Kluyveromyces lactis: one gene and its partners. The main gene of each other region encodes a partner of the protein of the gene in region 3 in a complex. Links are inferred from orthologs where the notes say so. Each region holds a gene or a part of one and is shown on either strand. Other genes may lie near its edges.

The links.
Region 1: UFE1 (region 3) and USE1 share a complex: the UniProt entries of both Saccharomyces cerevisiae proteins name them as parts of the SNARE complex. The link is inferred for Kluyveromyces lactis from reciprocal best matches to the Saccharomyces cerevisiae genes UFE1 and USE1.
Region 2: UFE1 (region 3) and BET1 share a complex: the UniProt entries of both Saccharomyces cerevisiae proteins name them as parts of the SNARE complex. The link is inferred for Kluyveromyces lactis from reciprocal best matches to the Saccharomyces cerevisiae genes UFE1 and BET1.
Region 4: UFE1 (region 3) and SFT1 share a complex: the UniProt entries of both Saccharomyces cerevisiae proteins name them as parts of the SNARE complex. The link is inferred for Kluyveromyces lactis from reciprocal best matches to the Saccharomyces cerevisiae genes UFE1 and SFT1.

Annotation. Positions count from the first base shown.
Region 1 is NC_006042.1:637,786-644,162, forward strand, and holds USE1 (SNAP receptor USE1), read right to left. Parts: upstream 3,259-6,377; coding exon 2,476-3,258; downstream 1-2,475. Other genes in the region: SRM1 (Ran guanyl-nucleotide exchange factor), read right to left, coding at 1-158; snoRNA-binding rRNA-processing protein ENP1, read left to right, coding at 826-2,262; ribosome biogenesis GTPase LSG1, read right to left, coding at 4,146-6,092; RRT2 (diphthamide synthase), read left to right, coding at 6,255-6,377. UniProt on the Saccharomyces cerevisiae protein: SNARE required for targeting and fusion of Golgi-derived retrograde transport vesicles with the ER.
Region 2 is NC_006040.1:1,197,213-1,203,049, reverse strand, and holds BET1 (Bet1p), read right to left. Parts: upstream 2,722-5,837; coding exon 2,278-2,721; downstream 1-2,277. Other genes in the region: protein disulfide isomerase EPS1, read left to right, coding at 1-2,080; iron-sulfur cluster assembly protein CFD1, read left to right, coding at 3,128-3,979; VAB2 (Vab2p), read right to left, coding at 4,004-4,849; YEA4 (Yea4p), read left to right, coding at 5,364-5,837. UniProt on the Saccharomyces cerevisiae protein: SNARE required for targeting and fusion of ER-derived transport vesicles with the Golgi complex.
Region 3 is NC_006037.1:694,741-701,239, reverse strand, and holds UFE1 (Ufe1p), read left to right. Parts: upstream 1-3,061; coding exon 3,062-4,051; downstream 4,052-6,499. Other genes in the region: SGO1 (Sgo1p), read left to right, coding at 1-1,515; CDC21 (thymidylate synthase), read right to left, coding at 1,676-2,614; ribosome dissociation factor GTPase HBS1, read right to left, coding at 4,128-6,361. UniProt on the Saccharomyces cerevisiae protein: Syntaxin required for targeting and fusion of Golgi-derived retrograde transport vesicles with the ER.
Region 4 is NC_006038.1:1,174,102-1,179,843, reverse strand, and holds SFT1 (Sft1p), read right to left. Parts: upstream 2,746-5,742; coding exon 2,710-2,745; intron 2,573-2,709; coding exon 2,315-2,572; downstream 1-2,314. Other genes in the region: ESCRT-0 subunit protein HSE1, read left to right, coding at 1-988; CAP1 (Cap1p), read left to right, coding at 1,401-2,189; RPL14A (60S ribosomal protein eL14), read left to right, coding at 4,163-4,291, 4,755-5,042. UniProt on the Saccharomyces cerevisiae protein: Vesicle SNARE required for retrograde transport within the Golgi complex.

The DNA of each region.
Region 1 (6,377 bases), on a different chromosome or scaffold from region 3:
CCAGTTCCCCATACAAAAATGTCAAGTGGAACAACAGATCTATACAAATGTTTATAATCATCTTGAGAATTGATGCTAACAAACTTATGATTCAAAGTAGAGTGTAAATGCTTCCTTTTAACTGGAGTGTTCGCTACACTAGAAGATCTTTTAGACATGATTTCTTCAGTAACTGGTGGTCAATTAAAAGATTAATTGGAAGGGCCTAGTCTAATGTTAATTGTAACTTTGCTAAGATTGCAAGGAACGAAAAAAACGGAAATGAACACTTGGTTTTTGATCAATCGATAAGTACAACTCAAGGGAGAAGCTTGAGTGAACAAGAGACCAGCAATGTGTCACCACGCATATGAGATCACATTACACTTGATCCATTGTTAATTATATATACGTAAAACGAATCTAAGCTGCAGTTGAAAAATCTTTCCAGATTTTAAAGTCACGTGCAAAACAAACAACATTCTTTGCCTGTAATCATTAGAAGAACATAGCTCTTGGCTGTTTACAGTAGCTTGAATTTGTGTTCAACGCTGTGGCATATCTGTTTCAATCACGACGATCCCGCTGCCAATGCTCCAGAGTTATTTAATTGAACCTTTGACTTCTCTAAACAGAGTATCTCTAGCCTTTCTTTTTCTGTCCGTGCATTGACTGAAAATTTTTGGGATTTGAATAAGTAACGATGAGATGAGAAGCGATGAGATGAGATGAGATGAGATGAGATGAGGTAAATGGCAGATAACAATCACAAAATTACTCATTAGTGTCTGCTTTAGTGCTCAGAATACGACTAGTGATACAAGATTTATTTGTTCTACGGAGAAAATGGGTAAAGTAATGGGTGGCAGCGGTCGTAAACAGAGACACGATCCTTTATTGAACGATCTTGACTCTCAACATGGTAAGTTGAAAAGACAAGGTAAGAAAAAGATCGATGCTAAGGATCAAAAAGGCCATGAAGATGAAGAATTTGTCGATGCCCAGCAATCTAGAAAAATTTTGCAATTAGCTAGGGAACAGCAGGAAGAATTAGAGGAAGAGGACGAGCAGTCTCTGCAGACATCCAGCCAAGGAATAAACAGATTCTGTGTGGCCAACTATGCGGATGAAGATGATGTAGCTGAGGAAGAGGAAGCTCAAGGTAATAACATATCTGACTTTGAACCGGAAGATGAAGACGATTTCGAAGGATACGAGGAGGAAGAAGTGGTAGAAATTGACGAAGAAGATGCTGAAATGTTTGACCAATATTTCAAGACTTCTGCTGATTTCAACTCTGCCAATGGATCATATAACCTTGCCGATAAGATTATGGCTTCTATTAGAGAAAAAGAGATGGAACTACAGTATAATGAAGAAGAAGCAGGTGATGCCTCTGCAGTAGCGGAACCAGCTGCACCTGTAGATCGTACAGAAGGTGTCGCCTTACCACCCAAGGTGATTCAAGCATACCTTGCCGTTGGTACCATTATGCAGACCTGGAGACATGGTAAACTACCCAAACTATTCAAAGTTTTGCCTTCTCTAAATAACTGGCAAGATGTTCTCTATGTTACTAATCCAGAGGAATGGTCTCCGCATGCTATATACGAAGGTACTAAACTTTTTGTTTCTAACTTATCATCTAAAGAGGCCCAAAAATTCGTTATAGCTGTGTTGTTACCACGCTTCAGAGAAGAAATTGAATTTAACGAAGATCACAACTTAAATTACCATGTCTACCGTGCATTAAAGAAATCATTGTATAAACCGGCTGCCTTTTTCAAAGGGTTCTTATTCCCACTTGTGGAATCCGGTTGTAATGTTAGAGAAGCTACCATTGCTGCAAGTGTGTTATCCAAGGTCTCTGTGCCAGCTCTTCATTCTGCTGCAGCATTGTCCTACCTTTTAAGATTACCTTTTTCCCCAGCCACCACCGTTTTCATCAAAATTCTACTCGAGAAGAAGTATGCTTTGCCTTATCAAACTGTTGACGAATGTGTCTTCTACTTCATGAGATTCAGAGAAGTCACTGATGGAAGTACAGGCCAAGATGCCGTCAGAGTCTTACCTGTGGTATGGCATAAAGCTTTCTTAGCGTTTGCTCAACGTTATAAGAATGATATTACCCAAGATCAAAGAGATTTCCTACTTGAAACTGTTCGTCAAAGAGGTCACAAAGAAATTGGACCTGAAATCAGAAGAGAATTATTAGCCGGTGATAGTAGAGAATTTGTCAGTGATGTTGGTAATAAAGCTGATTTAATGTTTGATGTTCTGTAGTCAATAGTCCTATAACAATATAAGTGCCTGTCAATTTTAAACAAGTGTATAATATGCAATTATAGATAAGACAATCAATAGAATCAATCTATTCGATAAGTGGAAACGGTATCAATTAATTTCATCGAATATTCATGAGTCTATTTTGTACTTTGAAGCTTTTGAGTGAAGCAGAGCCTTTATCTAAATCTTGGAGATTTTAGCGGAAGACACTCATAAATCTGGAAATACTTTTATTACAAGATAGGTGACCAATAGACCAATTATAATAAACGATAAAAGTCCTAACTTCATTAAAAATCCAATTTTTTCATTGTGATACTTTTTCAATCTGGATCCGAGTGAAGAAAGGCTCTTAGAAGTAACATGCAATCCGATTTCTGCTGCCTTAAGAACAGTAGAGTCGTGTTCGATAGCATTCTGGAAAGCTTCCGCACCTTGTCTTAAGCCTGAAACTAGCTGGGACATGTCTTCAACCAGTTCCTTCTGAAGATCATCCTGAATTTGCATTTGTTTGTCAAATGATTCACCCTCCGTATCAGCGCTGTCCCTTCTTTTACCCATAAGCCTTTGGCGGAGCTCCTTCAAAGAATCGTTGTCATTAATTGCTTCAACATTGGATATTATATCAACATCGTCCTCATCTCCTATAGGCACGTCGGGCGTTGCATCGAAATCAACACTATATCGCCTTTTCTTTTGAGATTCCTGATATGCATCATATTTCTGTTGCAACTTAGAAGCTTTGGAGAAACTGATAGAGCTAACCGATTCCTCTAGTCTGCTAAAGTTTTTCTGGTATCTATCAATAGCATCAGAAGACGGATCATCCAAGTTATCCTTTATAGCCAGTTTTCTCACGGTATTTAAGTTTGTGGCCAGTTTTGTAGATATAAGATAATGGTAAAAAGGGTCTTCGTCATCTTGAAAGAGCGAAAGGTCCCTGTAATAATTTTTGCGTAGTTGATCACTTAATGTGTCTAAATCTGTCGTCATATTCCGTCAGTTAATGTCCTTTAACGAGGCGCTATCCCTTTTTATTTGTGATTGGAATTGTACTAAGTATTATTTTAAAGGCTATATTACATTTTGTTTTATGTCACTAAAATATTATCCCAAACCTCAATCAAAGAAATAACAGAGCTGTCTGAATGAAAGTCATTCACTCTGAAGCATGACCCTTGCCAACCCTTACAAAAGCGCATGTAAGAAAGAGTGGACCGAGTGCTACTTAATGTATCTACCGATGGTAAGTATAACATAAGGCTGAACTTGGTTAACTATTGCTAAATCTTATTGATATACAAATTCATACGACTCTCATAATATTTCAGAGGAAACTACTGAACCAATTAAATGGGTAATATTTCCGCCCACCTACTATCAAACTACAAACTGTAGGAATTCAGTTGTTGTTAGCGAAAAGGGCGTTAAATGGGAGTATCCCAGCTCTGGGCATCTTGAGCTTACTTCTACATGCGTGGAATAAGTCTGCGCCATGATAACCACAACGCGAACCATAATTGAACATGCCGAAATGTGTTTAAGAGCCCTTGTTTGCTGAGCTAGGAACCAAAAAGATAACCACAAATGACAAGAATACTTATCAACTGGACCATGTACTGAGGTCAAGTATAAAGTAAACCAACTTTAACCAAGTTTTGTATCCTTTTCTTTTGGTTCATCAAATTTTTCAGTAAACACCGGGTAATGCAGTGACAAGTTGCATGCTAACCATAGGTCTTATAACCGGAAGCAGGGCAGCTAAGGAAGATATAAAGGATATGCAGTTACATTTCCATAATGAATGGGGATAATAGACTGTGCAAACAGTGGATTTATATATATATAAGAGTTTAGGATGAATTTAGATAGTACTTACATTAATCGGAAAACATGGAAGCCTTTTTCTTACTCTTCTTGTTCTTCTTGTTATGCTTCTTACCATTTTCGTTGGCGACGGTTTGCTTATGGAAAGGGTTCGTAAGTCTGCCTTGAACACCGTTCAAATGGAAGAAATTTTTGTCAAGTTCATCAGCTACGTTGTACAAGGCTGCTTGTTTACCACCATGGTTGACAGATTTAGCTTGTACTTTATCACCATCACCACCAATATGAGCAGAGAACGTTAATCGACTTAAATCGCGAGCAAGATCCAAATCTTGTATACCTTTGTGTTTGGCAGCTTCTGCAAGTTGCTCTTGTCTGTTGATAGGTAATTTACTGAACGTGTATAAATCTTTGTTGAATTCCTTACATTCTTCTCTGGTATATGGCGTATCATCGTCCATGTGAGGCGGTGGATTAATGTACAGGAGTTTACCGTTCACATAATCTTTGAGAATGTAACGAGAGGCACGAGATTCATCTGCGGCACCAAAACCTTGTGTCATATAACCACGAGCTCTGGCATAAGCAACGAGTAATTCTTGTGCAGTTGGTACTTCACCATTCCCACCCTCTTCTACGGATTTGGTCTGAATATGGATACCGTAAATGGCTTCCAAAAAGTATTTAGGGACCCTTTCTGCCACTAATGTCGATGGCCCAATATAGTCACGTAACTGATCGATCGGTAGAACACCGTTACACACCAATTCACCTTTATTGTATGCAAAATTAGGGAAAACTAGACCTGGACAGTCGCATAACGTTACCTTATCAGATAACTTGATAGTTTGGAAATGTTTGGTCTTACCAGGGGTAGAAGAGACAGAAACTTTCTTGGCACCCACCAAGGCATTTATAGTGGAAGACTTACCAACGTTTGGATAACCCACTAGACCTATTTGTATGATTGGCTCTTGACCGGGCAATGGAGGAAGTAGCGGATCGTTTGGCGCTTTATCTAAGAACAATTCTTCAAGTTGATCGATCTTCAGTATGTTAATTTTATCCAGAATTTCTTTGTTCACTTCTTCCCCATCAAGTTCTTCAATTTCTTCCTCTGTAGCCAGTATTTCCTCATCGTCCTCTTCTTCAACGTATTCATCCCCTAGTTCCTCTTGTCTCTCTAATATTTCATTAGCCTTGGCAGCAGAAAAGAATGTAAAAGAGATGCCCCTCGAGAGAAGGTACTTGGCCCAAATAATACGTTGCTTTCTTGTTAATAAATCCGCTTTGTTGATCAAAAGTAAATTCTGTTTCCTGTCATCCACTTCTTTCACATATTTCTCTAAATCTGTGGATCTGAATAATAATGGATCTCTGGCATCCACGATTTGGACTACTAGATCACATCGCTCAACAACTCTCCACAACTGCCTCCAAACTTCAATGTTTCTCTCGAATGGAGTCAATAACAAATCCTCGTTGTCTTCTTGCAAATAGGCTAATTTACGTCTCCATTCCAAGAATGCTTCCTTTTCTAACCTTTCTAATTCAAATCTGGTCATAGATTCATTCCACTTAGGCCTTCTTGGGACAATCAACTCTCTAGCATGTAATCTCTGCTTCTCGTTGATCTTACTTTTCTGCTCATTGGTCAAACTAAATCCCTGGGATGTGGCTGCATCGGCACCGTTATCCATTCTGATGATCTTGACATTAGAATGTCTGTCCGCTGTGAAATCCTTGTCTGCTAACTCAGCAGTACTCAAAAATTCATCTAATGCAGATTCCTGAGTAACAGATCTCAATTTTACCCAATTAGCTTCGTGCTTATCGGTAGTGAAACGTTCTTCACCATCTGGCAAATACTGCACTTCATTTTCCTTACGTCTTGCAGTTTGAATTGCCTTACCTAACCCAATAGTGTTTTTATTCTTCCTTTGAATAGGCTTTGGACCCTTTGGAGGTTTCCACTTCTTTGTTGTTTCCTTTGGTGGCATGCTGCTAGTCCGTGTTGCTTGTAGACCTGCCGTTAACTGCTAAGATTGTTGTGCTGATGCTTTGCTTATGATGAGATGAGCTGGTTAACATATTAAAATTTTCCGCTAGTACGTAAAGTGTAAAAAAGAAATTGTGTGGTAAACCTGAACTAGAACAGATGGATGGCTCAACAATCTTTACAAAAGCACCCGCATGATGAGGATGCAGAGTACGACTCCAACATAGGTATTGCATACCACCTTAGAGGAGCGACAAAATTAGAAGTCAAGAGTTTCTGCAGAATG
Region 2 (5,837 bases), on a different chromosome or scaffold from region 3:
GATACCATTGGTTTTAGGTGCACCACCAAGAGCTAATCCTAATCAAGGTAATGCTGCGGATCCAGAAAGTAAATTACCGTCTCCATTGACTGAAGCCAACTTTGACGAGACCATAGCAAAGAATCTACACATCATCGAATTTTTCAGTCCATATTGCCATCATTGTAAGCAGCTAGCCCCAATTTGGGAAAAGACGTACAATGGCTTTTACGATGAATCCTTGCAGCTCAACATATCTCTCCATCAAGTGGATTGTATCGAGTCAGGAGACTTATGTATGAAAGAGGGTATTAATTCATACCCTACCATCAGATTATATGGACCAGAAGGCTTTATCAAGGCATTTCCCAGAGGTTTGGAACGGACTGAAACAACTTTGCTAAATTTTGCAAGAAAGGAAGCTCTGGATGCAGACAATCTGGATATCACTAAACTATCGAGCAAGAGTAAACTGTTGAATGATGGTGAGCTCTTGAAGATTTTATCAGAACCTCAAACTGAACCATACTTTGTCTCATTTTGGCCAACCTCTGATTTTGAAGATATCGAATCTTCTTATCAGTTCAAAAACTGTGAAGACTGTTCGCTTTTTCAACGGATTTGGAAGTTGGTAAGTAACAAGGCTGACTCGATAGGAATCAATACGGTACATTTCAACTGTGTGAATCCGACAGATTCTTCAAAGAATGAAGCCATTTGTAGGGAGTTGTCCTTCGATACTTTGACTCAGAAGAGAAACTCTAGGTTAGAAAGAGCCCCGGAATTTGCATTGATCTTACCTAACCGCAAGAGTGGTAGTTTTATTAAGTTCCCATTTGGTCCAAAGCGTGTCGATAGCGAATCCTTGATTGATTTTGCTACAAGAACTTTACACAACAGTAACGTTCCAAATATTGATCAGGATGAGATCGAAGCTTTTGTAAAAGAACCAAAAAGTGACATTTTGGAAGCAAATGCCGAAGCCGATAAAATATTGCTTGTATTTAATTATAACCCGGAAACTGTTGTCCCTGAGGATATGCAATTTTTGGAACAACTCATTGACCCATTGGGATACATCCCTAATATTTACTTGTACAAGAACACTGACGACCTAAAGAAGTTAAGCCATACTCTCTATCAAACTCTGTACAAAGATTATAATACCGATCAACGCACTGAAATTAATGAGGACCATTTTATCACGACATCCATTACCCAATCACCAACGTTCTTCATATTCAAGAAATCTACGTTTACTCCGATCATATTCCCTGGATATTCAACAACTGAAACCAGAAATTTGGACTTCATCTTGGATTGGCTCACTATAAACTCTCTTCCAACTGTCACTGAGATTACATCCAAAAACTTTGAAGCATTAAAAGGATTTGAACAAGATTTCTATGACAAGTTGGTAATTCAATTGGTTAATAAGAAGAATAATAAGTTTGAAGAAGGTTCAAAGAAAATCGTCGAAGGCCTACGAGTAGCGGCACATAGTTATGAAATATTGCGTAACGAGGCGGTGTACGAAGGTCTTAAGACGGCCAGAGAAGAAAAGAAAAAACTGGTGCAAAAGCTTAAGAACAAAAACGCACCATCCGTTGATATAGTCACTGCCATGAGAAAAGAGATAAATTACAGTTATAATCACAAGGTCATATTTGCCTATTTGGACATTAATGAATCCCCTTCTCTCTTGAATAATAAAGGTCTAAATGTTTACTTCAGGAAGTTCAAGACTGGTGATATCATTGTCGTGGACAAGCAAAAAGCCATCTATTACGAAAAGGATGCTTCTGGACAATACATCACCCTAGAGACGTTGCCCGAAGTCCTCTCCATTCTGAATTTCCCCGCAAGACACCCTGATCTTCGTATTGAACGCATCTTTTTGAGAACTCCACTCAGTGGATTGCTCAGATTAATTGACTACCTCCGCGAATTTAGCGGAATCAATTACTTATTTGTTGTGGTGACATTCTTGGCGTTATGGAAAATACCCAGAACCATTCATCATTATAAACTGAAAAGACGTTACGCTGCAAAACGGGATACTCATGGTATCCTCGGGAAGGAAGCTAAGCTCATGGATTGAGGAACAGGAATTCTTCCTATAAATAATCTTATATTTCAACCTAATACTGATAGTTACGATTTATTAATATATCTTTTTAATGGTACATATAATGCGTGAAGGAATGCGTTTAACCAATACGAATTAGATATACATGCTCGATGGGATACTCTTCAGTACATGACCCTTTTGTGGTTTTTTATTTCGCTCTCGCTCTCTCAACGTATCCAGACGTAGAAGAACAAAAGTGTCAGAACACCAAATATTATGAACCATATTTTTAATGGAATGCGAGAATTCTGAGCCATCACCATCATTCTCTTGAAAGTCCTTTTCAAACGGTTGCTAGTCTGTTCAAAAACGTTTCCTAACTGATCTAAGGTCTGATTGCTACCACGAATCTCATCTCCCATTCGTAGAGATAAATTCTTTAGTGCGTTGATCTTTTCACTCATGGTATTCATTTGTTCATCACTTTGAGACTCGAGCTGCGAAAGTGTTGCTTGAGAATAATCTACCCCTGGGGATGGTCTATCAAACGGCGAACTTGGTCTATCCTGTTGTTGTTTATACTTAGAGAAGTCAGTACCCGCAAACAATTGCGTCCTACTCGCATCTCGCTGTGTCAAATCACCTTGCATTCCACTATAGTTTGAACTCATACCTTAATTATTTCTAGTGCCTCAACAATAAAATACAAAGTGTAGATTTGTCAAGATACTCAGATCTAACCATAGGGAATTAAGTGCAGTTTCACCTTGGAACTTCCTAGTCCATCTGTAAGCTACTACCAAATCGATTCGCTTAACGAAAACTTTTTGTTGAAGTTTAATCACGTGATATTGTCCTCGAAGGTTTCCCCTTCGCTCTGACAAAGGTATCATTATCATCATGAAATCCTAGTTAAGCTAAGAGTTAAATGTATTAGTCAACCTACTGTTTAAACGGCTGAGAAAAGTATTTGCAGTATACCCTTTTATAAGTATTCTGTCCACTGTGAGCATATACAGTCATATCTGCAGTGGCTGGTACGTTTAGTGTCCCAGGATCATAATCAATTGTATCTCGATGTCAGCTGAAACCGAATTATTGGGTATGCCTGAGTCCTTAAAGGACATCAAGCACATTATATTGGTCCTTTCTGGTAAAGGTGGTGTTGGTAAGTCATCTGTCACCACACAGACAGCATTAACTTTATGTTTAAAGGGATACAAAGTGGGTGTTTTAGACATTGATCTAACTGGACCGTCGTTGCCTAGAATGTTTGGTTTAGAAAATAAACAGGTTTATCAGGCTTCTAAGGGTTGGATACCCGTTAGTGTTCCTACGACATCAGGAGGGGAATTGAAACTCATGTCCTTGGGTTTTCTTTTGGATGATAGAGGTAATAGTGTGGTATGGCGTGGTCCTAAGAAAAGTGCTATGATTAAACAATTTATAAAAGATGTGGATTGGGGAGATTTGGACTATTTGATTATCGATACACCGCCCGGAACTTCGGATGAACATATATCTATCGCAGAAGAGTTGAGGTGGGCTGCACCTGATGGTGCTATTATTGTTACCACGCCTCAAGGTGTCGCTACGGCAGACGTGAGAAAGGAAATCAATTTCTGTAAGAAAGTCAACTTCAATATACTCGGTGTCATCGAGAATATGTCCGGATTTATATGTCCTCATTGTGCTGAATGTACAGATATCTTCTCTAGAGGAGGCGGTTTCAAATTAGCCAGCGAATATAACGTTCCGTACCTGGGGAATATTCCAATTGATCCGACGTTTGTCGAGTTGATTGAGAAACAGACTGGGTTCAAAGAGAGCTTAGTTGATCTCTACAAGGATTCTGGATTGTATGTCATTTTCTCAAAGATATTAGATAATGTACTGAACGGTGAAGTAAAAAGTGGAACAGATCAATAATGGGTAAATTTGACATGAAACTTTTCATAAGTCAGCCGATTTGCTCATGCCTCGAGGTCTAGTGAACGGTTCTGTGATACATATATGCTCAAGAGTTGTAGCGATTGATGGCCTTGATGTACTCCGGATTGATGACAGTGCTAATGGCGCCGAGGATATCGACTGACGGTACGATTTGGTGGTGTTTGAGTCCGCTGAATTTCCTTTGGTACTATGATAATCTTTTTTAGCATTATTTTGGCTTCCATTTGTACTTTGCCTCGAATAAGAGCTGTTCAAACTCTCGGAATTAGCTTCGTTCTGTGACTGCCCACTATTGTCCTTATTCGCTTCGGTTTCTGTCGTGTTACTACTCTCTGGGAACCTTTCTTGCAACAGCTTTGAAATTTTGCTGAATTGCGTCGCATCAACTTTTATACTACCGTTTCTAGTTACGTAGTCTAATAATTCTTCATTCACATCTCTGATTATTCGTACCTTCTTATCAATGTCAGAATATTTGCTTTCGAACTGTTTTAACTGTTTATCCGAATCCTTAGTGAATTTTGATCGTAGTTTTACTAACTTAGAAAAGCTAGACTCTAGTTTTTTTACCGAGTGGTTGATCTTGTTATTTACTTCTTTCGTCTGCGATTGTTCTGTATCGATTTCTTCCTGAAGTCTCGAATAAATTATGGCAACATCGTCACTGATTTGATTTACTTCCTTGGCCACATTGGAGAATATATGATCTTGTCTCAATGAAGAGGAAGAGGGAAGCAAAGGCAATGATTGCAACTGTTTAGAATAATCACTCTTTTCAATTGTCGCAAAGTGGAAGCTCTCTCGCTTCCTCAGGTGCTTCGAATCTCCATAGAATAGGAAACTCATCTTATAGCAGTTGGAATCTCAACCTTCAAAGAACCTTAAAGTTATTGATGGCACTGGGTCAGTACAAGTATAAAAATTTTAGCCAATAAATAATGGTTCCTGAGTACACTAATAGTTTAGTTCAACTGAGCCTTTCTCGCTGTTCTTTCTCTGACAAACGTGCCCTTAATACGTTGGTTTAATGCGTGTCTATTTTAAGGTTCGCATTTATGGTTCTTAAACGTTTTTTCATATAAAATTCAGGCAACCTCTTTACAATACATGTCATCATGAAAGAAAGATTGTTTAAGTTGATTTGAAATCGTTCCGGATGTGTAGTCTAGGGGTATTCATGGTTACTGAATTCAATTGGATTGATGAGATTAACTCTATTGGATTCATTTAAAGGTCAATTGATTGCTAGTCCTTTTTTTCCTATTGTCGATTGAGAGAGTTACTATATATATAGAAACCATTCCATGTGTTGAATACCCTTACGTTGACCAATTGATCTCATAATTTCATTTCTTTAGTAATGATAGAAATATTGGCTATTTTATCGTTGTTTGGTGGGTGCTGTTCCAATGTATTGAGTTTAGAAGAACTTTTACTAGATAATAAAGATCGGTTGGGAAATGTGGTCACTTTTACACAGTTTATATTCGTTATCCTAATTGAACTGCCGAAGTTTGTCAGCTTAAAAGGGAGGAAAGTCTCAATAAAACCCTGCAAGATACCGTTCTTTATCCATTCAACGTCAGCGTTGCTCTTTTTCATTGGATCTGTTCTTAATAATAACGTTTTCATGTACAACATTTCAATTCCATTACACATTGTCATCAAATGTTTGAGCACCGTAAACACCATGATTTTCAGTTCAATAATTCTCAAAAAGAGATATCCTTTTGCTCAAATTATAGCAGCACTCATGATGACTTTTGGGGCCATAATTACCTCTGTTTTCAGGTCTACTGAAATTACGTCGTGGCATAACTTTTTGGAAAGCTTT
Region 3 (6,499 bases):
CAATTGTTGACCACAGTACGGGAGAGCCAGGGTTTAGAATCAGGTATTCATGATAACCCTCTTAAACCGATTTTGAGAGGCTCGAATGGTATAAGCCCGAGATCTGCGAAGAAAGTGGAGTTTACTGGTGCAAATACCACAACGAAACCAGTTGGGTTTGAGGATCCAATTGCGGAAGATAACCATGAAAATAGCGGGAATAGTCTCGAGCTGAATGATGATGAGGTACGACCTCTGAGAAAGAGGAGGCGTAAGAGTTCACGGAGAGAGTCGTTGTTCATTCCTGCAGATTTCGAGTTTAACGATGAGGACCCGGAACTAGAACTGAATCAACTGCCGATAACTGAGGATGAACCGCCGCCTAGTACTGCAGCCACCTCAGTACCTGAGGAAGAGTCTCAGGAGAACAAGCATACAAAAGAAGAGCGTGAAGACGAGGGAAAAGAGAATGTCTCTACGATACCTTTGGTACCGGTCCTTCCATCTGTTACTAACACAGGCACTGAATGTAGCAATACCAATAAAAATAATACTACAGAAATGGAAACTGCACTTGCCGAAGATGATTCTTACAATTTCACTACATCAGTCATTGAATATTCCATTCCAGAGGAAACTTCAACTCACGAGCATTCACATATCCTACTGGAAACGTCGAAATCGAAAATTGATGTATACAACGACAGAGAAGAGACAAACAACAATGAGGCTGATGACTCAATGAATATCGTCCAGTGCACAATCCCATCACAATCGAAAATTAAACATTCCATGAAACATCCTAGGACGAAACTGAAAGGTGGCCAAGATGATATTATGCCCCACACAGATTACGATAAAGATGATGAAAAACGAGAAAGAAGGACTAGAGGCAAAGCTGTCAACTATAAACTCCCATCACTACGTGCTAAGATGCGTAGACCCACTGAAAAATTGGTGGATGCCACAACTGTCACCGATATTCATGATTTACAAGTGAAACGTAGAAATAACCAACAACAGGGAATACCGTCTGATGACGATGATCAGGAAGAACTCTTAGTGCCTGCTGGCGTACCTGACACAAATGTCGTCATTGCAACAGTGGAAGAAGAGAACAGAAAGGAACCACCGGCTTTACCATTACATGAGATTCACCTTGCACAAAACGTTAAACCTAAAATCGCTCTGAAAGAATTATCAGCTAACGCTATCAACAGAAAAGTTAAAACATCTACTGCCGTAAAAGCAATAAGCCACACTAAATCGCGAGTGCTTAAAGATGTCAAGTTCAACACATTGCCCACAAAGCAACAAGCTATTGAAAACAACTCGTCCGATCCAAATGTATCTGATGAAAATGAAAATAGCAACGTGAAACCGACAAGAACTAAACAGGCTACTTCAGATCTAGCAGCATTTGAAATTATAGATGGAATTTCTCTGAAACATGTATCCAGGACACATCGTGTCAGAGCAAAAGAAGACATGAACAAAAAACGTAAAAGAATTCATAATGACGAAATAAGCATATGATAGAACTACCTCAGCATTCAACCCGTCCCATACCAACATTCGATACCAGCATATGGCACATATCATATGAATCTTTTTTTTTTTCCGGTATTTGAGCATGATATAGATAATATTAAGTACATACATTAGATAGACAAATGATACCAATTATCCATGATCCTCAAACGCTCATCTTCATTTGAATCTTCCCATGAGGGTTATAGTCAGTTATTTCGAAGTCTTCGTATTTGAAATCGTCGATATCACTGACATTTCTCTTTATCTTCAATTTTGGGAAAGCTCTTGGCTCTCTGGCAATTTGTGTCCTTAATGCATCAACATGATCTTTATAAACATGCGCATCACCCAAAGTGTGAATAAATTCACCAGGTTCCATATCACAGACCATAGCAATCATCTTCGTCAGTAGCGCATACGACGCGATGTTAAAGGGTACTCCTAGACCCATATCACATGATCTCTGATAAAGTACACATGACAATCTTGGTTTGGCACCTTCTCCCTTGGGGAAACTGACGTAAAATTGCGAGAAAACATGGCATGGCGGTAAAGCCATCTTGGGGAAATCCGGAGGGTTCCATGCAGAAAGAATTATTCTTCTGTCGTATGGATTTGTCTTCAACTTATGAATAATCTCCTTCAACTGATCAACACCTTGACCACTATAATCATCATCACATGTCTTATATTCGGCCCCAAAATGTCTCCATTGGAACCCGTAAACTGGTCCTAAATCCCCCTCTCTTCTGTCAGTCAACCCAAGTGAGTCCAGGTACTCACGAGAACCGTTACCTTCCCATATCTTAACGCCTTGTTCTGATAATTTCTTCCCGTCTGTACATCCAGCAACAAACCATAAGAGCTCCAAAATAATACCTTTCGTAAACACTCTCTTCGTAGTGAGAAGCGGGAAAGTATCATTGCTCAAATTAAACCGTAACTGTGGAGGCGCAAAAAGGGAATAAGTCCCTGTACCAGTTCTATCTGGTCTGAATTCTCCCTCATTGATAATCCTTTCACATAAATCCAAATACTGCTGTTCTTCCGCGTTAACAGCCTCAAGCTTAACTCTCTTCACGTTTTCATCGCTCAGCGTCATGGTTGACAAATGTTGGTTGTTTAATGATCCGATAAAACGCCAAAGGAGTCGAAGGATGGTTGAAGTAAGATAGAGTTTAAACTAGAGATGGCCTTTAACTCTTAAAAGCCGTAGTCTGATTCTTAACGCGTTTTCGTGTTGTGGGAATTTTTCAATGGCCGGGTAATGATGGTGAAACAATGTCACGTGCTACCTAAATTCTTAATTCCATCCTCGATGAAGCTTTGGTCTGGCAAACGAATGCGAATCAAATTTAACCAAAGGTTACTTTGGTTAAGGAGGTACCGTTCTACTGGTAATTATACTGTCTATTAACTGTCCAATTAGAGGCAACTATCGTGTGTGTTTACCCTATCTAATCTGGGACTATAAGCGTTCCTTGTTCAAGCTTTTCTATGTTGAGTAAGTGTCAAAAAGAATATATACAAAGAAAGTGACTACCTTAATATGAGTAATAGAACTGAGCTCTTCAAAAAGTACATGCAAGTGATTGCAGAGACTCAGGGAATTGATGATGCTAGGAACGAATTGAATAATACGAAAGCGAGAGAGGATAGAGAAAAGGTGAAGGAAAAGTTTAGTGTAAAGGATACTTTTGTAAAAGAAAGTAAGCAGTTGATGAAACATATTATGGAATTCCAGATAGTGATAAGGCAATTGACTCCCAGGTACGAAAGTGCTACTGACATGACTGATCAGGAGAAAGATGATTTTGATACAGAGAGCAAACTTCAATTACAGCAATATTTCGAGAAATATAAGCAATTGGAATCGTATGAAAGACAGAGACAAGAAATGATGAAAGAAAAGTTAGAGAAATGGTCCGCAACCGTACCATTTTTCTCTAGATCAATTGACGATGTATCCAGTTTCCACAAGGTGAATAATCAATTTCGTATGGGTATATTACAGTCATTGAATATGTGGCTCATGAAGATTTCAGATAGGTTGTCAACCATTCAGCAGACACGATTATCCAGACAAAGACATATCGAAGCCATTGATTTCAATGCTCAATTACACTTACCTGAAGAAATTTCTGTATCACAGTCTCCTATGATAACGACAACTGTTGAAGAAATCAAACAGTACGAGGAAACGATGTCCAAACTCTCTTCAGAACAATTACAAATCTTGGCCACAGAGCATGAAGAACTTCTTAATTTGAAGAACGAAGAATTACAAAAAGCAGAGGCACTACGGAGAACCGCAGTAGATATTGCATCGCTACAGAGTGAATTGGCTACACATTTGCAGGTTCAAACACAAAATATTAATACATTGCTCGATAATCAGACTGACGTGGAGATGGAAATGGAAAAAGGTAACAGACAGTTGAAACAGGCCAACAGGAAAGGAGATAGGCTCGCTAACATGGTCATGTGGTTTGCTATAATTTGTGGACTGCTATTGTTATTCTTCGATTACATAAATTAAGGTTAATTCGTTTCTCTCTGTTGCAATTGCTTACTACACGGTGATACGTAATGGTGTATATATGTACGGTAAGTTTTTAATAATCTAAAGATTTGATCAACGCAGCTCCGATTGTTCTTCCCTCCTTTCTTAGAACCACCCTTCCTAACTTCTTATTTTGCTCGAATGTTAGCATTGGGATTCTTCTTTTTTTCTCCACCAGCTCGATCTCAACTATGGCAGCTTGTTGAGAACCCAAATGCTTCACTTTCTTTTTTAAAACCTTAGATGGATTACTTTTATCGACAGTACAACACAATTTTTTGATTCTACAAGGTTGTTCTGTAGCACCTCTAAAGAGCATGAGCGAGGTACCAGGTAATAACGGTCTATCCAGCCTGAAAGTCAAGAGTCTTGAGGTAAATTCTTGGGAGCTTGGGATATCAAATCCAACGATAGATGCCAAATCACCACCTTGAATATCTTCAGGGAAGGCGTTATGCAACTTCAATTGGACAAAGTCTCCATGTAATGCAATATCCACTTTTTGAGAGTCATTGCCGCATAATATTGAATCAACAACGCAACTCTGCTCAGATGGATATATTGTGATAGTTTCGCCCGGTTGAATAGTACCTGATTCTACTTTACCAGATATAATGGCGGATGTATTTTTGGAAGTTGGAGTGACATCCAAAATGTTGAAGAGGAAAGGCTCTTTGGTAACACTTTCATCAACACATGCTAGCTTCAAAGCAACATTTTCAAGTTCCCCAACGAGACTTGGTCCCTGATACCAAGTTTGAGATGGCGGATATGGGGTTTTGAAGATACCCTCACCACTTAACCCGCTGCATGGAACCCAGCTTACATCGTTACCTTTGAAACCGATTTCTTCGAAGAAAACAGCCAATTCTGATCTAATGTCGTTAAATCTACCTTCGTACCACGATACAGAGTCCATTTTATTCATGGCAACAACGATATGTTTAATTCCGAGACTTCTGGCTAGCAATGCGTGTTCTTTAGTCTGACCATCAAGGTTAAAACCTGATTCAAATGCATCGGTTCCACAGTCTACTGAAAGAACAGCGACATCAGCCTGTGAAATCCCAACAATTGCATTTGGAACAAAATCTCTATGACCAGGAGCATCAACAATGGTGAACGAACTTTTAGTAGTGGCAAAATCACTAGTACAAATGTCAACGGTAACACCCCTATTTCTTTCCTCTGAAGTTTGATCCATGACCCAAGCAAGATGGAATGAGGACTTGCCAATCATTTCACTTTCCTTTTGCAACTTACGAATCAATTTTGTATCAACAGCACCAACGTCGTATAGTAGACGTCCCATCAATGTGGATTTTCCTGCATCAACGTGACCTAGAACTACAAAATTCAAATGAGGTTTCTTGTTGTCGAGGTAGGAAGAAATATTGATTGCATTTTTAGGTTTTGTAGGAACACTCACCTTCTTGTAAGTCTTCACAACAGGCTCTTCAAAAGGTAACTTCTCATCATCATCGTCATCGTCATTGATATCCTCTTCTTTTTCAACAGTTTTTGAACTTTGTTTATCTTGTATAGATAAATCAGCGACCTTTTCTTTAATTTTATCCACCTCGAATGCTGCCTTTTGTTGGTTTATTACGACATCATCCGGAGATGGCTTGCTAAAGTTAGCAATTGCTTGTTTTTTAACTACTCTATTGTTAGTATTTGGATAATAGACTGAAAACAGTTCTTCGTGTTTCCTTTTCGTGGTTGTTGAATTAAACTCTAGTTTCTCCAAGATGCCAGAATATAACGGTACCTTGTTGATTGCCAGAATTTCGTTTATATTACTGACATATGCTGAATCTTTCAATTGGTTAAGTATGACCCATGGGTCATCCTTATCTTTCTTTTCATGATCTATCTTATTTTCTTCGATGACCACCTCTACGTTCGTTTCTTCCGCTTCGGGTTTCTCTATAATCTGTCCCTCAGGTTTACTTTTCCTGAGTGATGCCAATTTTGATGCCAATGTGTGAGTTTTCGGTTGTGAAAAGGATGCAGTTGCAGCGCCGTTACTGTTATTGTCAGTAGTAATGGGTCCCCTTTTAAGTGATTGCAATCGACTAGCTACGGATACAGTTGTTTTTACAGGATTACCATTTTGTCCATTACCACCTCCGTTCTTGAGTTTGTCCAGAAGAGAAACCTTAGTTGTTGCAGGTGCCATTGTTGAAGCCTTATTCCTTGCTTCTGCACGTTTCCTAGCCAGTAATTCTAAGGCCGATAGTTTCTTTTCCACTTTCTGTTCTGCAAACAAACAAATAAATGATACTTAGTTAGTCATATAGCTCATTAGAGATGCAATACAATACACGCTGTTCAATCAAGTCAATTGTTTTTTCTTCTGCTGCCCGTCCGAAACACAAATAAGCACCACGTTCACGACCATCATGATCAATCGACATGTCC
Region 4 (5,742 bases), on a different chromosome or scaffold from region 3:
GACGGGTAGCAGGCAACAAGTACAACAGCCTCAACAGCAGCAGCAGCAGCAACAGCAGCAGCAACAGCAGCAACAACAGAAACTGTACCCTCAGAATGCCGAAGCTCAACAACAACAAGCGCCAACTGTTATACGTAAGGTAAGGGCAATGTACGATTTCAATTCTACAGAACAGGATGAATTATCTTTCAAGAAAGGGGATCTGATTTGTGTGGTTGAGCAGGTGTACAGGGATTGGTGGAGAGGAACGCTTGCTGGGAGCGTTGGAATCTTCCCGCTCAATTATGTAACTCCAGTTACAGAACCTTCTCAACAAGAATTGGCAGCAGAAAGAGCAAAGGACGAACAGGTTTTCGCTCAAAAGGACAATGTTGACAGGCTACAGAATAAGTTGAGAGAAGCTGGAAACGCAGATATCACGCAAGACCAAGAGATAAATGATTTGTACGGATCAGTTTCACCAATTCGCCCACAGATATCAAAGATGCTTGGTAAGTACGCTCAGAAGAAAGAAGATCTCGTATCATTACGTCAAATTTTGGCTAATGCTGAAATCACATACAACCAGTTGCTAAGTCGAGCATCTAATGCTTATGCTTATTCTGCGCCTCCGCCCGCGCCTATGACGGGACCTGCACCAACTCCAGGCCCACAAAGTCCAATGTCACCAACTGCTCAATACACAAGTCCTACAAATACACAAACGCAAATGAATGGCATACCAAATCCGCCATATTCATATCCATTACCTCAACAAACTCAACAAATTCAACAGTCTGAACAAACTCAGCAGCCCTTGAGTCAAATAAACTCACCTCAAAATTATGCGAGCTCAGTCGGTAACACCAATTATACTGGTACGAACCATATCCCACAGCCATTGGCACCATATCCTCAGTACACCGGTATGTCAATGCAGTCTATACCTCCGCAGCAACCTCAAATGCCTCAACATTATAACATGAGCTCTAACAGTAATGCTCAGTAGTGGATCTGTTCTGTTTCATGCTTAATCTGCACTTCTATATAAAAATACTATCCTATGATAAGCTTATTTCTTTGCACATACGTCAAGAGAGCATGTTTATTTAGTTGTAAGAGTATTTAAATCTCAATATATTGCCAAAACACATGGCCTTACGCGCCTTCCATGTCATTAATCAACTGCAGCTCTTCCCTAGTACAAGTCATGGATAGCCTAGGTTCCTTCAAATTTAAGGTCCCTTTTTCTTTCAAAAAATAAATGAGACGAATAACGATATCGTAAAGAACTCTTAAGTTAAAATTTACTACAGTTATAGGCAAAAATCTACCAGTGAAGAAGTGGATTTAGAGACAATTAACCTGTCATTTTAAGGTAAATTGTGGTGAACATCAATTCACACTGTGAAAATCATATTATGTCTGAATTTGAGAAGATTGTGAGAGATATTGTATTCGATTCCCCTCCAGAGGAAATCTCTTTGGTTTACGATAATCTACAAGTGTTAAGCGATGGTCAAAGCAAGCAACAGATTGCTTCAATTATCCAAGAATTCAATGAGAAGCACAGAGTGCCAGCTGCTAAGGGTGAAGAGAGATATCTTGTGTCTGAATACAATAAATCTGGAAGTAAATATTTCGATCCAGTAAACAAGGTTTTATTTGCCGTAGACCATATTACCCGCGAAGCTAGTGATATTGAGGAATATACCAGTGAAGATGCCACTCAGGTACAATCAGACCTTTACGATGAATTGTCTAAATACGTTTCAAACTTCTTCCCTGATACAGCTGTGTTCAACGTGTTTAAGATTCCAGAGAGCGACCAATATGCCATAATCGTTGTCAGTAACAAGAAAAGTTTAGGTGATTTCTGGACTGGTTACTGGTTATCAGAATATGTGTATGATGTCGATGGGGATACGATCTCTGGCGAAGTCTCCGTCGATGCTCATTACTTCGAAGACGGTAACGTTCGTTTCAAATCAACTGCTTCCTTGGAATCAGCACAGACGGATTCACCAATAGTAAGCATCAAGCAGTTTGAGAACGAGTTTGAAAAGAATCTCATCAATAAGTTCCAGTACATGAATGAAACACAGTTCAAGGGATTGAGAAGAAGATTACCCGTGACTAGAGCCAAGATCAACTGGGGACAAGGGATCGGTAATTACAGATTGGGAAGAGATGCTGCTCAAGGTGCATGAAAGGATGATGCTATGACATTACATTACCTGAATGTATACATATGTGTATATACAACGAATATCTTCTGCTTATTCAAACTTCTTCCTATAAAGAAGAGTACTTGCGGTCAGTAAGCAAAAGGTTCTTAAAATACCTTATATATCGTGTACAATATGAAGAAACACAATAATGATACACCCACCATACGCCATATATTATTACCGGCATTCATAGATCTCTGGAGCCTTGTAGATGAGTTCTTGACATTAAGGAAAAGTTGACCGAATGAGTTCTGTATATTGTCGATAAGGGAGCTGTCATTTGCGGCTTGATTTCCAATATCTTGGTTGATATTTCTGAATGTAGATAGTTTATTGGCCAATTCGTCTAACCTTTGATTATTCTAAAGAAAATGTTTGAGCGTTACGTTAGTAAATTTCGATCTTAAAGTGGCACTTGCATACCGTACAGTCGGTAAGGATACTGCGCCTGTAGGTTCAAGCCTATTCTGCCATCAAACGTCTTTTTGGTAGAACATACATCATTTTCCACCTGTGAGTACTTGGAATCCGACATGGTGAGAGTTCACTTTATGCAAGAGTGGCTCTATATCGCGTTCTAGTTGCTAAATGTGAACGTTTCGCTATAATATAAACTCTGAGGTGCACTTTGATCCTGCCTTTTAAGGTACAGACAGTGTTTCAATTCTATCGCTCATAATAATGGGAATTGAATCTTCAAAACACGTTAGAAATGATATTTCATTTCAGTCAGCGAAGCATAGCGAAAGGTACAAGAAAGCTACGGTGAATACAAATACTATACATGACGCTGTTAACGGTACAAAGCGAAAACCATAATTATCGAAATCAGAGTAGATCTTGGTGTTTGTTAGTTTTATAATTTTCATATGAAATCAACGTTAGGCAACTGTTTTCATCTCGTAAAGATAGTTATGGTTCGCTTTATCCTCCATACCTGAGAAATATGTGGTATATATAAGTATGATCACAATTGGAACATGACTAGGTGCAGAAGTACACGATAATTATCTCCTCACCTCTGCTGAGGTGAAAGAAAGAGAAGAATTAGTTATAATGAATGTGTTGTAATGAAAGGATTCTTTTCTATAATAGTCAGACCGAAAGTTATTCGCATACCACAAGACTCCCATAATGGAACTAGGCATGTCCCGAGATGACTTGCCCTCGATCGCAAATTATAAAACATCATTCAAAAGAAAAGAAGCGAACCCCAAAACCACGAAACATTATGATAAGAATTCTTCTCAAATCCATACTTCCTGCTGCTAAATCTCAATCATCACTAAAACTAGGTATAGTAATAGCAGTGGCTACTGCTCATGCTGTTACTATTATTATTAAAGTGACGAACAAGCTTCATACTTGAAACACAATCCTAATATTAACTGTCTAACAATACCACCGTTTAATCGTGTGAATACAAACAGCATACCTCATCTCATACGCTCTCTTTATATATAATTCAATCAGCATGCGGACATTGATAACAATTTTCGTGGGACTGCCCTTTTATACACCTGTACATCTCATTATATTTCAATAATGTCCTTTAAACACCCAACCATTACATATTTTGTTGCGCCTGTGTTAGGATGAAAATGAATTCGTCCTGTAATATAATACCTAAATTGGAATAGGTATGTATTTTAAACCCGTAGCCCACATACATTGTTACCCACGCAACTTTTTCATCAATAAGCACTCCAAGGTACTCTGCGTCCTGGATTCTGACAATAGCGAATTCCAGCTTCACCGGATAGACACGCACAGACACACAGGGCTGCGTTGGAAGTTTGAGTTTGGAACCAAGGTTTAACAAAATTGTTTGACTACTTTATCTGTTACACTATTTGAAGGTATACTATAATAACGGTTTAATACTTACTATTACGTTATATTAGATTAGGTTTGGTCTTGATTTACAGAACGGAAGAAGAACCAAGTGAAAGATGTCCACTGATTCTGTTGTTAAAGCTTCTAACTGGAGATTGGTCGAAGTTGGCCGTGTTGTTTTGGTTAAACAAGGCCAATCCGCCGGCAAGTTGGCCACTATTGTTGAAATCATTGACCAAAAGAGAGTATGTTTTACAGATTATAATGAAACGGAGATTCCCTGTACAGTACCATCTTTCCATTTGAAATAAGAACAGATATCGATCACACTGCGATCTGGTATTCTTATGCTTTATTTGGGAAAGTTGCATAGATGTATAGGATCGAACCGAAGAATAATATGAGGAAGAGGAAAGAATGATTCATGATAAACTGTTTCCCGAGTTAAAGAAAGTATACTTTGAGAAATGAATGAAAAACTATTGTACTGAACAGACATCGAGAGAGAGGTTTAGACTACGTTTGTTTTCCCTCCTTCTGGTAAGGTTAGGAATGTGTCGTTAATACTCGATGGCTCTCGTACTTGGTATGAACATGACAGTCCTTTTCCTAGTTATTTTTTTGTTTCTATCCATAAACTCGTATCGAACAATTTTTACTAACAAAATATCCATGACATTAACTTGTCTAATTTTAATTTCCTTCCAGGCTTTGATTGATGGTCCAACCACTGGTGTCCCAAGACAAGCTATCAACTTAGGTCAAGTCGTTTTGACTCCATTGACCTTTGCTGTTCCAAGAGGTGCTAAGTCTGCTACTGTTTCAAAGAAGTGGGCTGCTGCTGGTGTCTCTGAAAAATGGGCTACTTCTTCCTGGGCTAAGAAGATCGCTCAAAGAGAAAGACGTGCTGCTTTGTCTGACTTCGAAAGATTCCAAGTTTTGGTTTTGAAGAAGCAAAAGAGATACGCTGTTAAGAAGGCTGTTGCCAAGGCTTAAACTTTTTAAACTTTAATCGGTTTATTATGAAGCTTTGCCAATTCCTTTCATTAGCAACAATTACAAATTCAAAAATCTCTTTTCTTCATAGAAATAACATTTCTCACTCCTCATTTCCTTAAAGTCTTTTGAGGCGTATGACTATCCTCACTATACATACATATAATTTTAAAGTGAGGGTTTTCAACTCTTATCAGTATATATTATTATAACAATAATATAATGTACATCTAAATTACTCGTGTTTACACTGTTACATCATCGAGGTCCTTTGTTTCATTAACATGTCGGAAATTAACGGTAATCAGGATTTACTTGTATGTAAGGTTTCTAAACTGCTAACTGTTGCTTTTAGACCTATATTGTTTAGTTTCTTAATACGTTGAACGTTTCTTGATTCTCAAGGAAAAGAAACAAAAAAAAATCAGCATCGAAATAAAACAAAATAATTGATAAATAAATAAATACATAAACAAATAACAAACAGATGGAAAGGGTGAACCAGGGTACATCATCGTTGTCAGCCCTTTTATTGACATCAGAATAAAAGTTTTTGAGAAACTACGGAAAGCAGTTGTTATTTTATCTCTTAACTCACTACTTTATACCAAGAAAGCATTGGACAAAGACGCTTTTACAGTTTTTTTTTGTTGAGTTTTTTTTTAATATAGAGAAGTGGACGATATCGTTAATTGAAGCT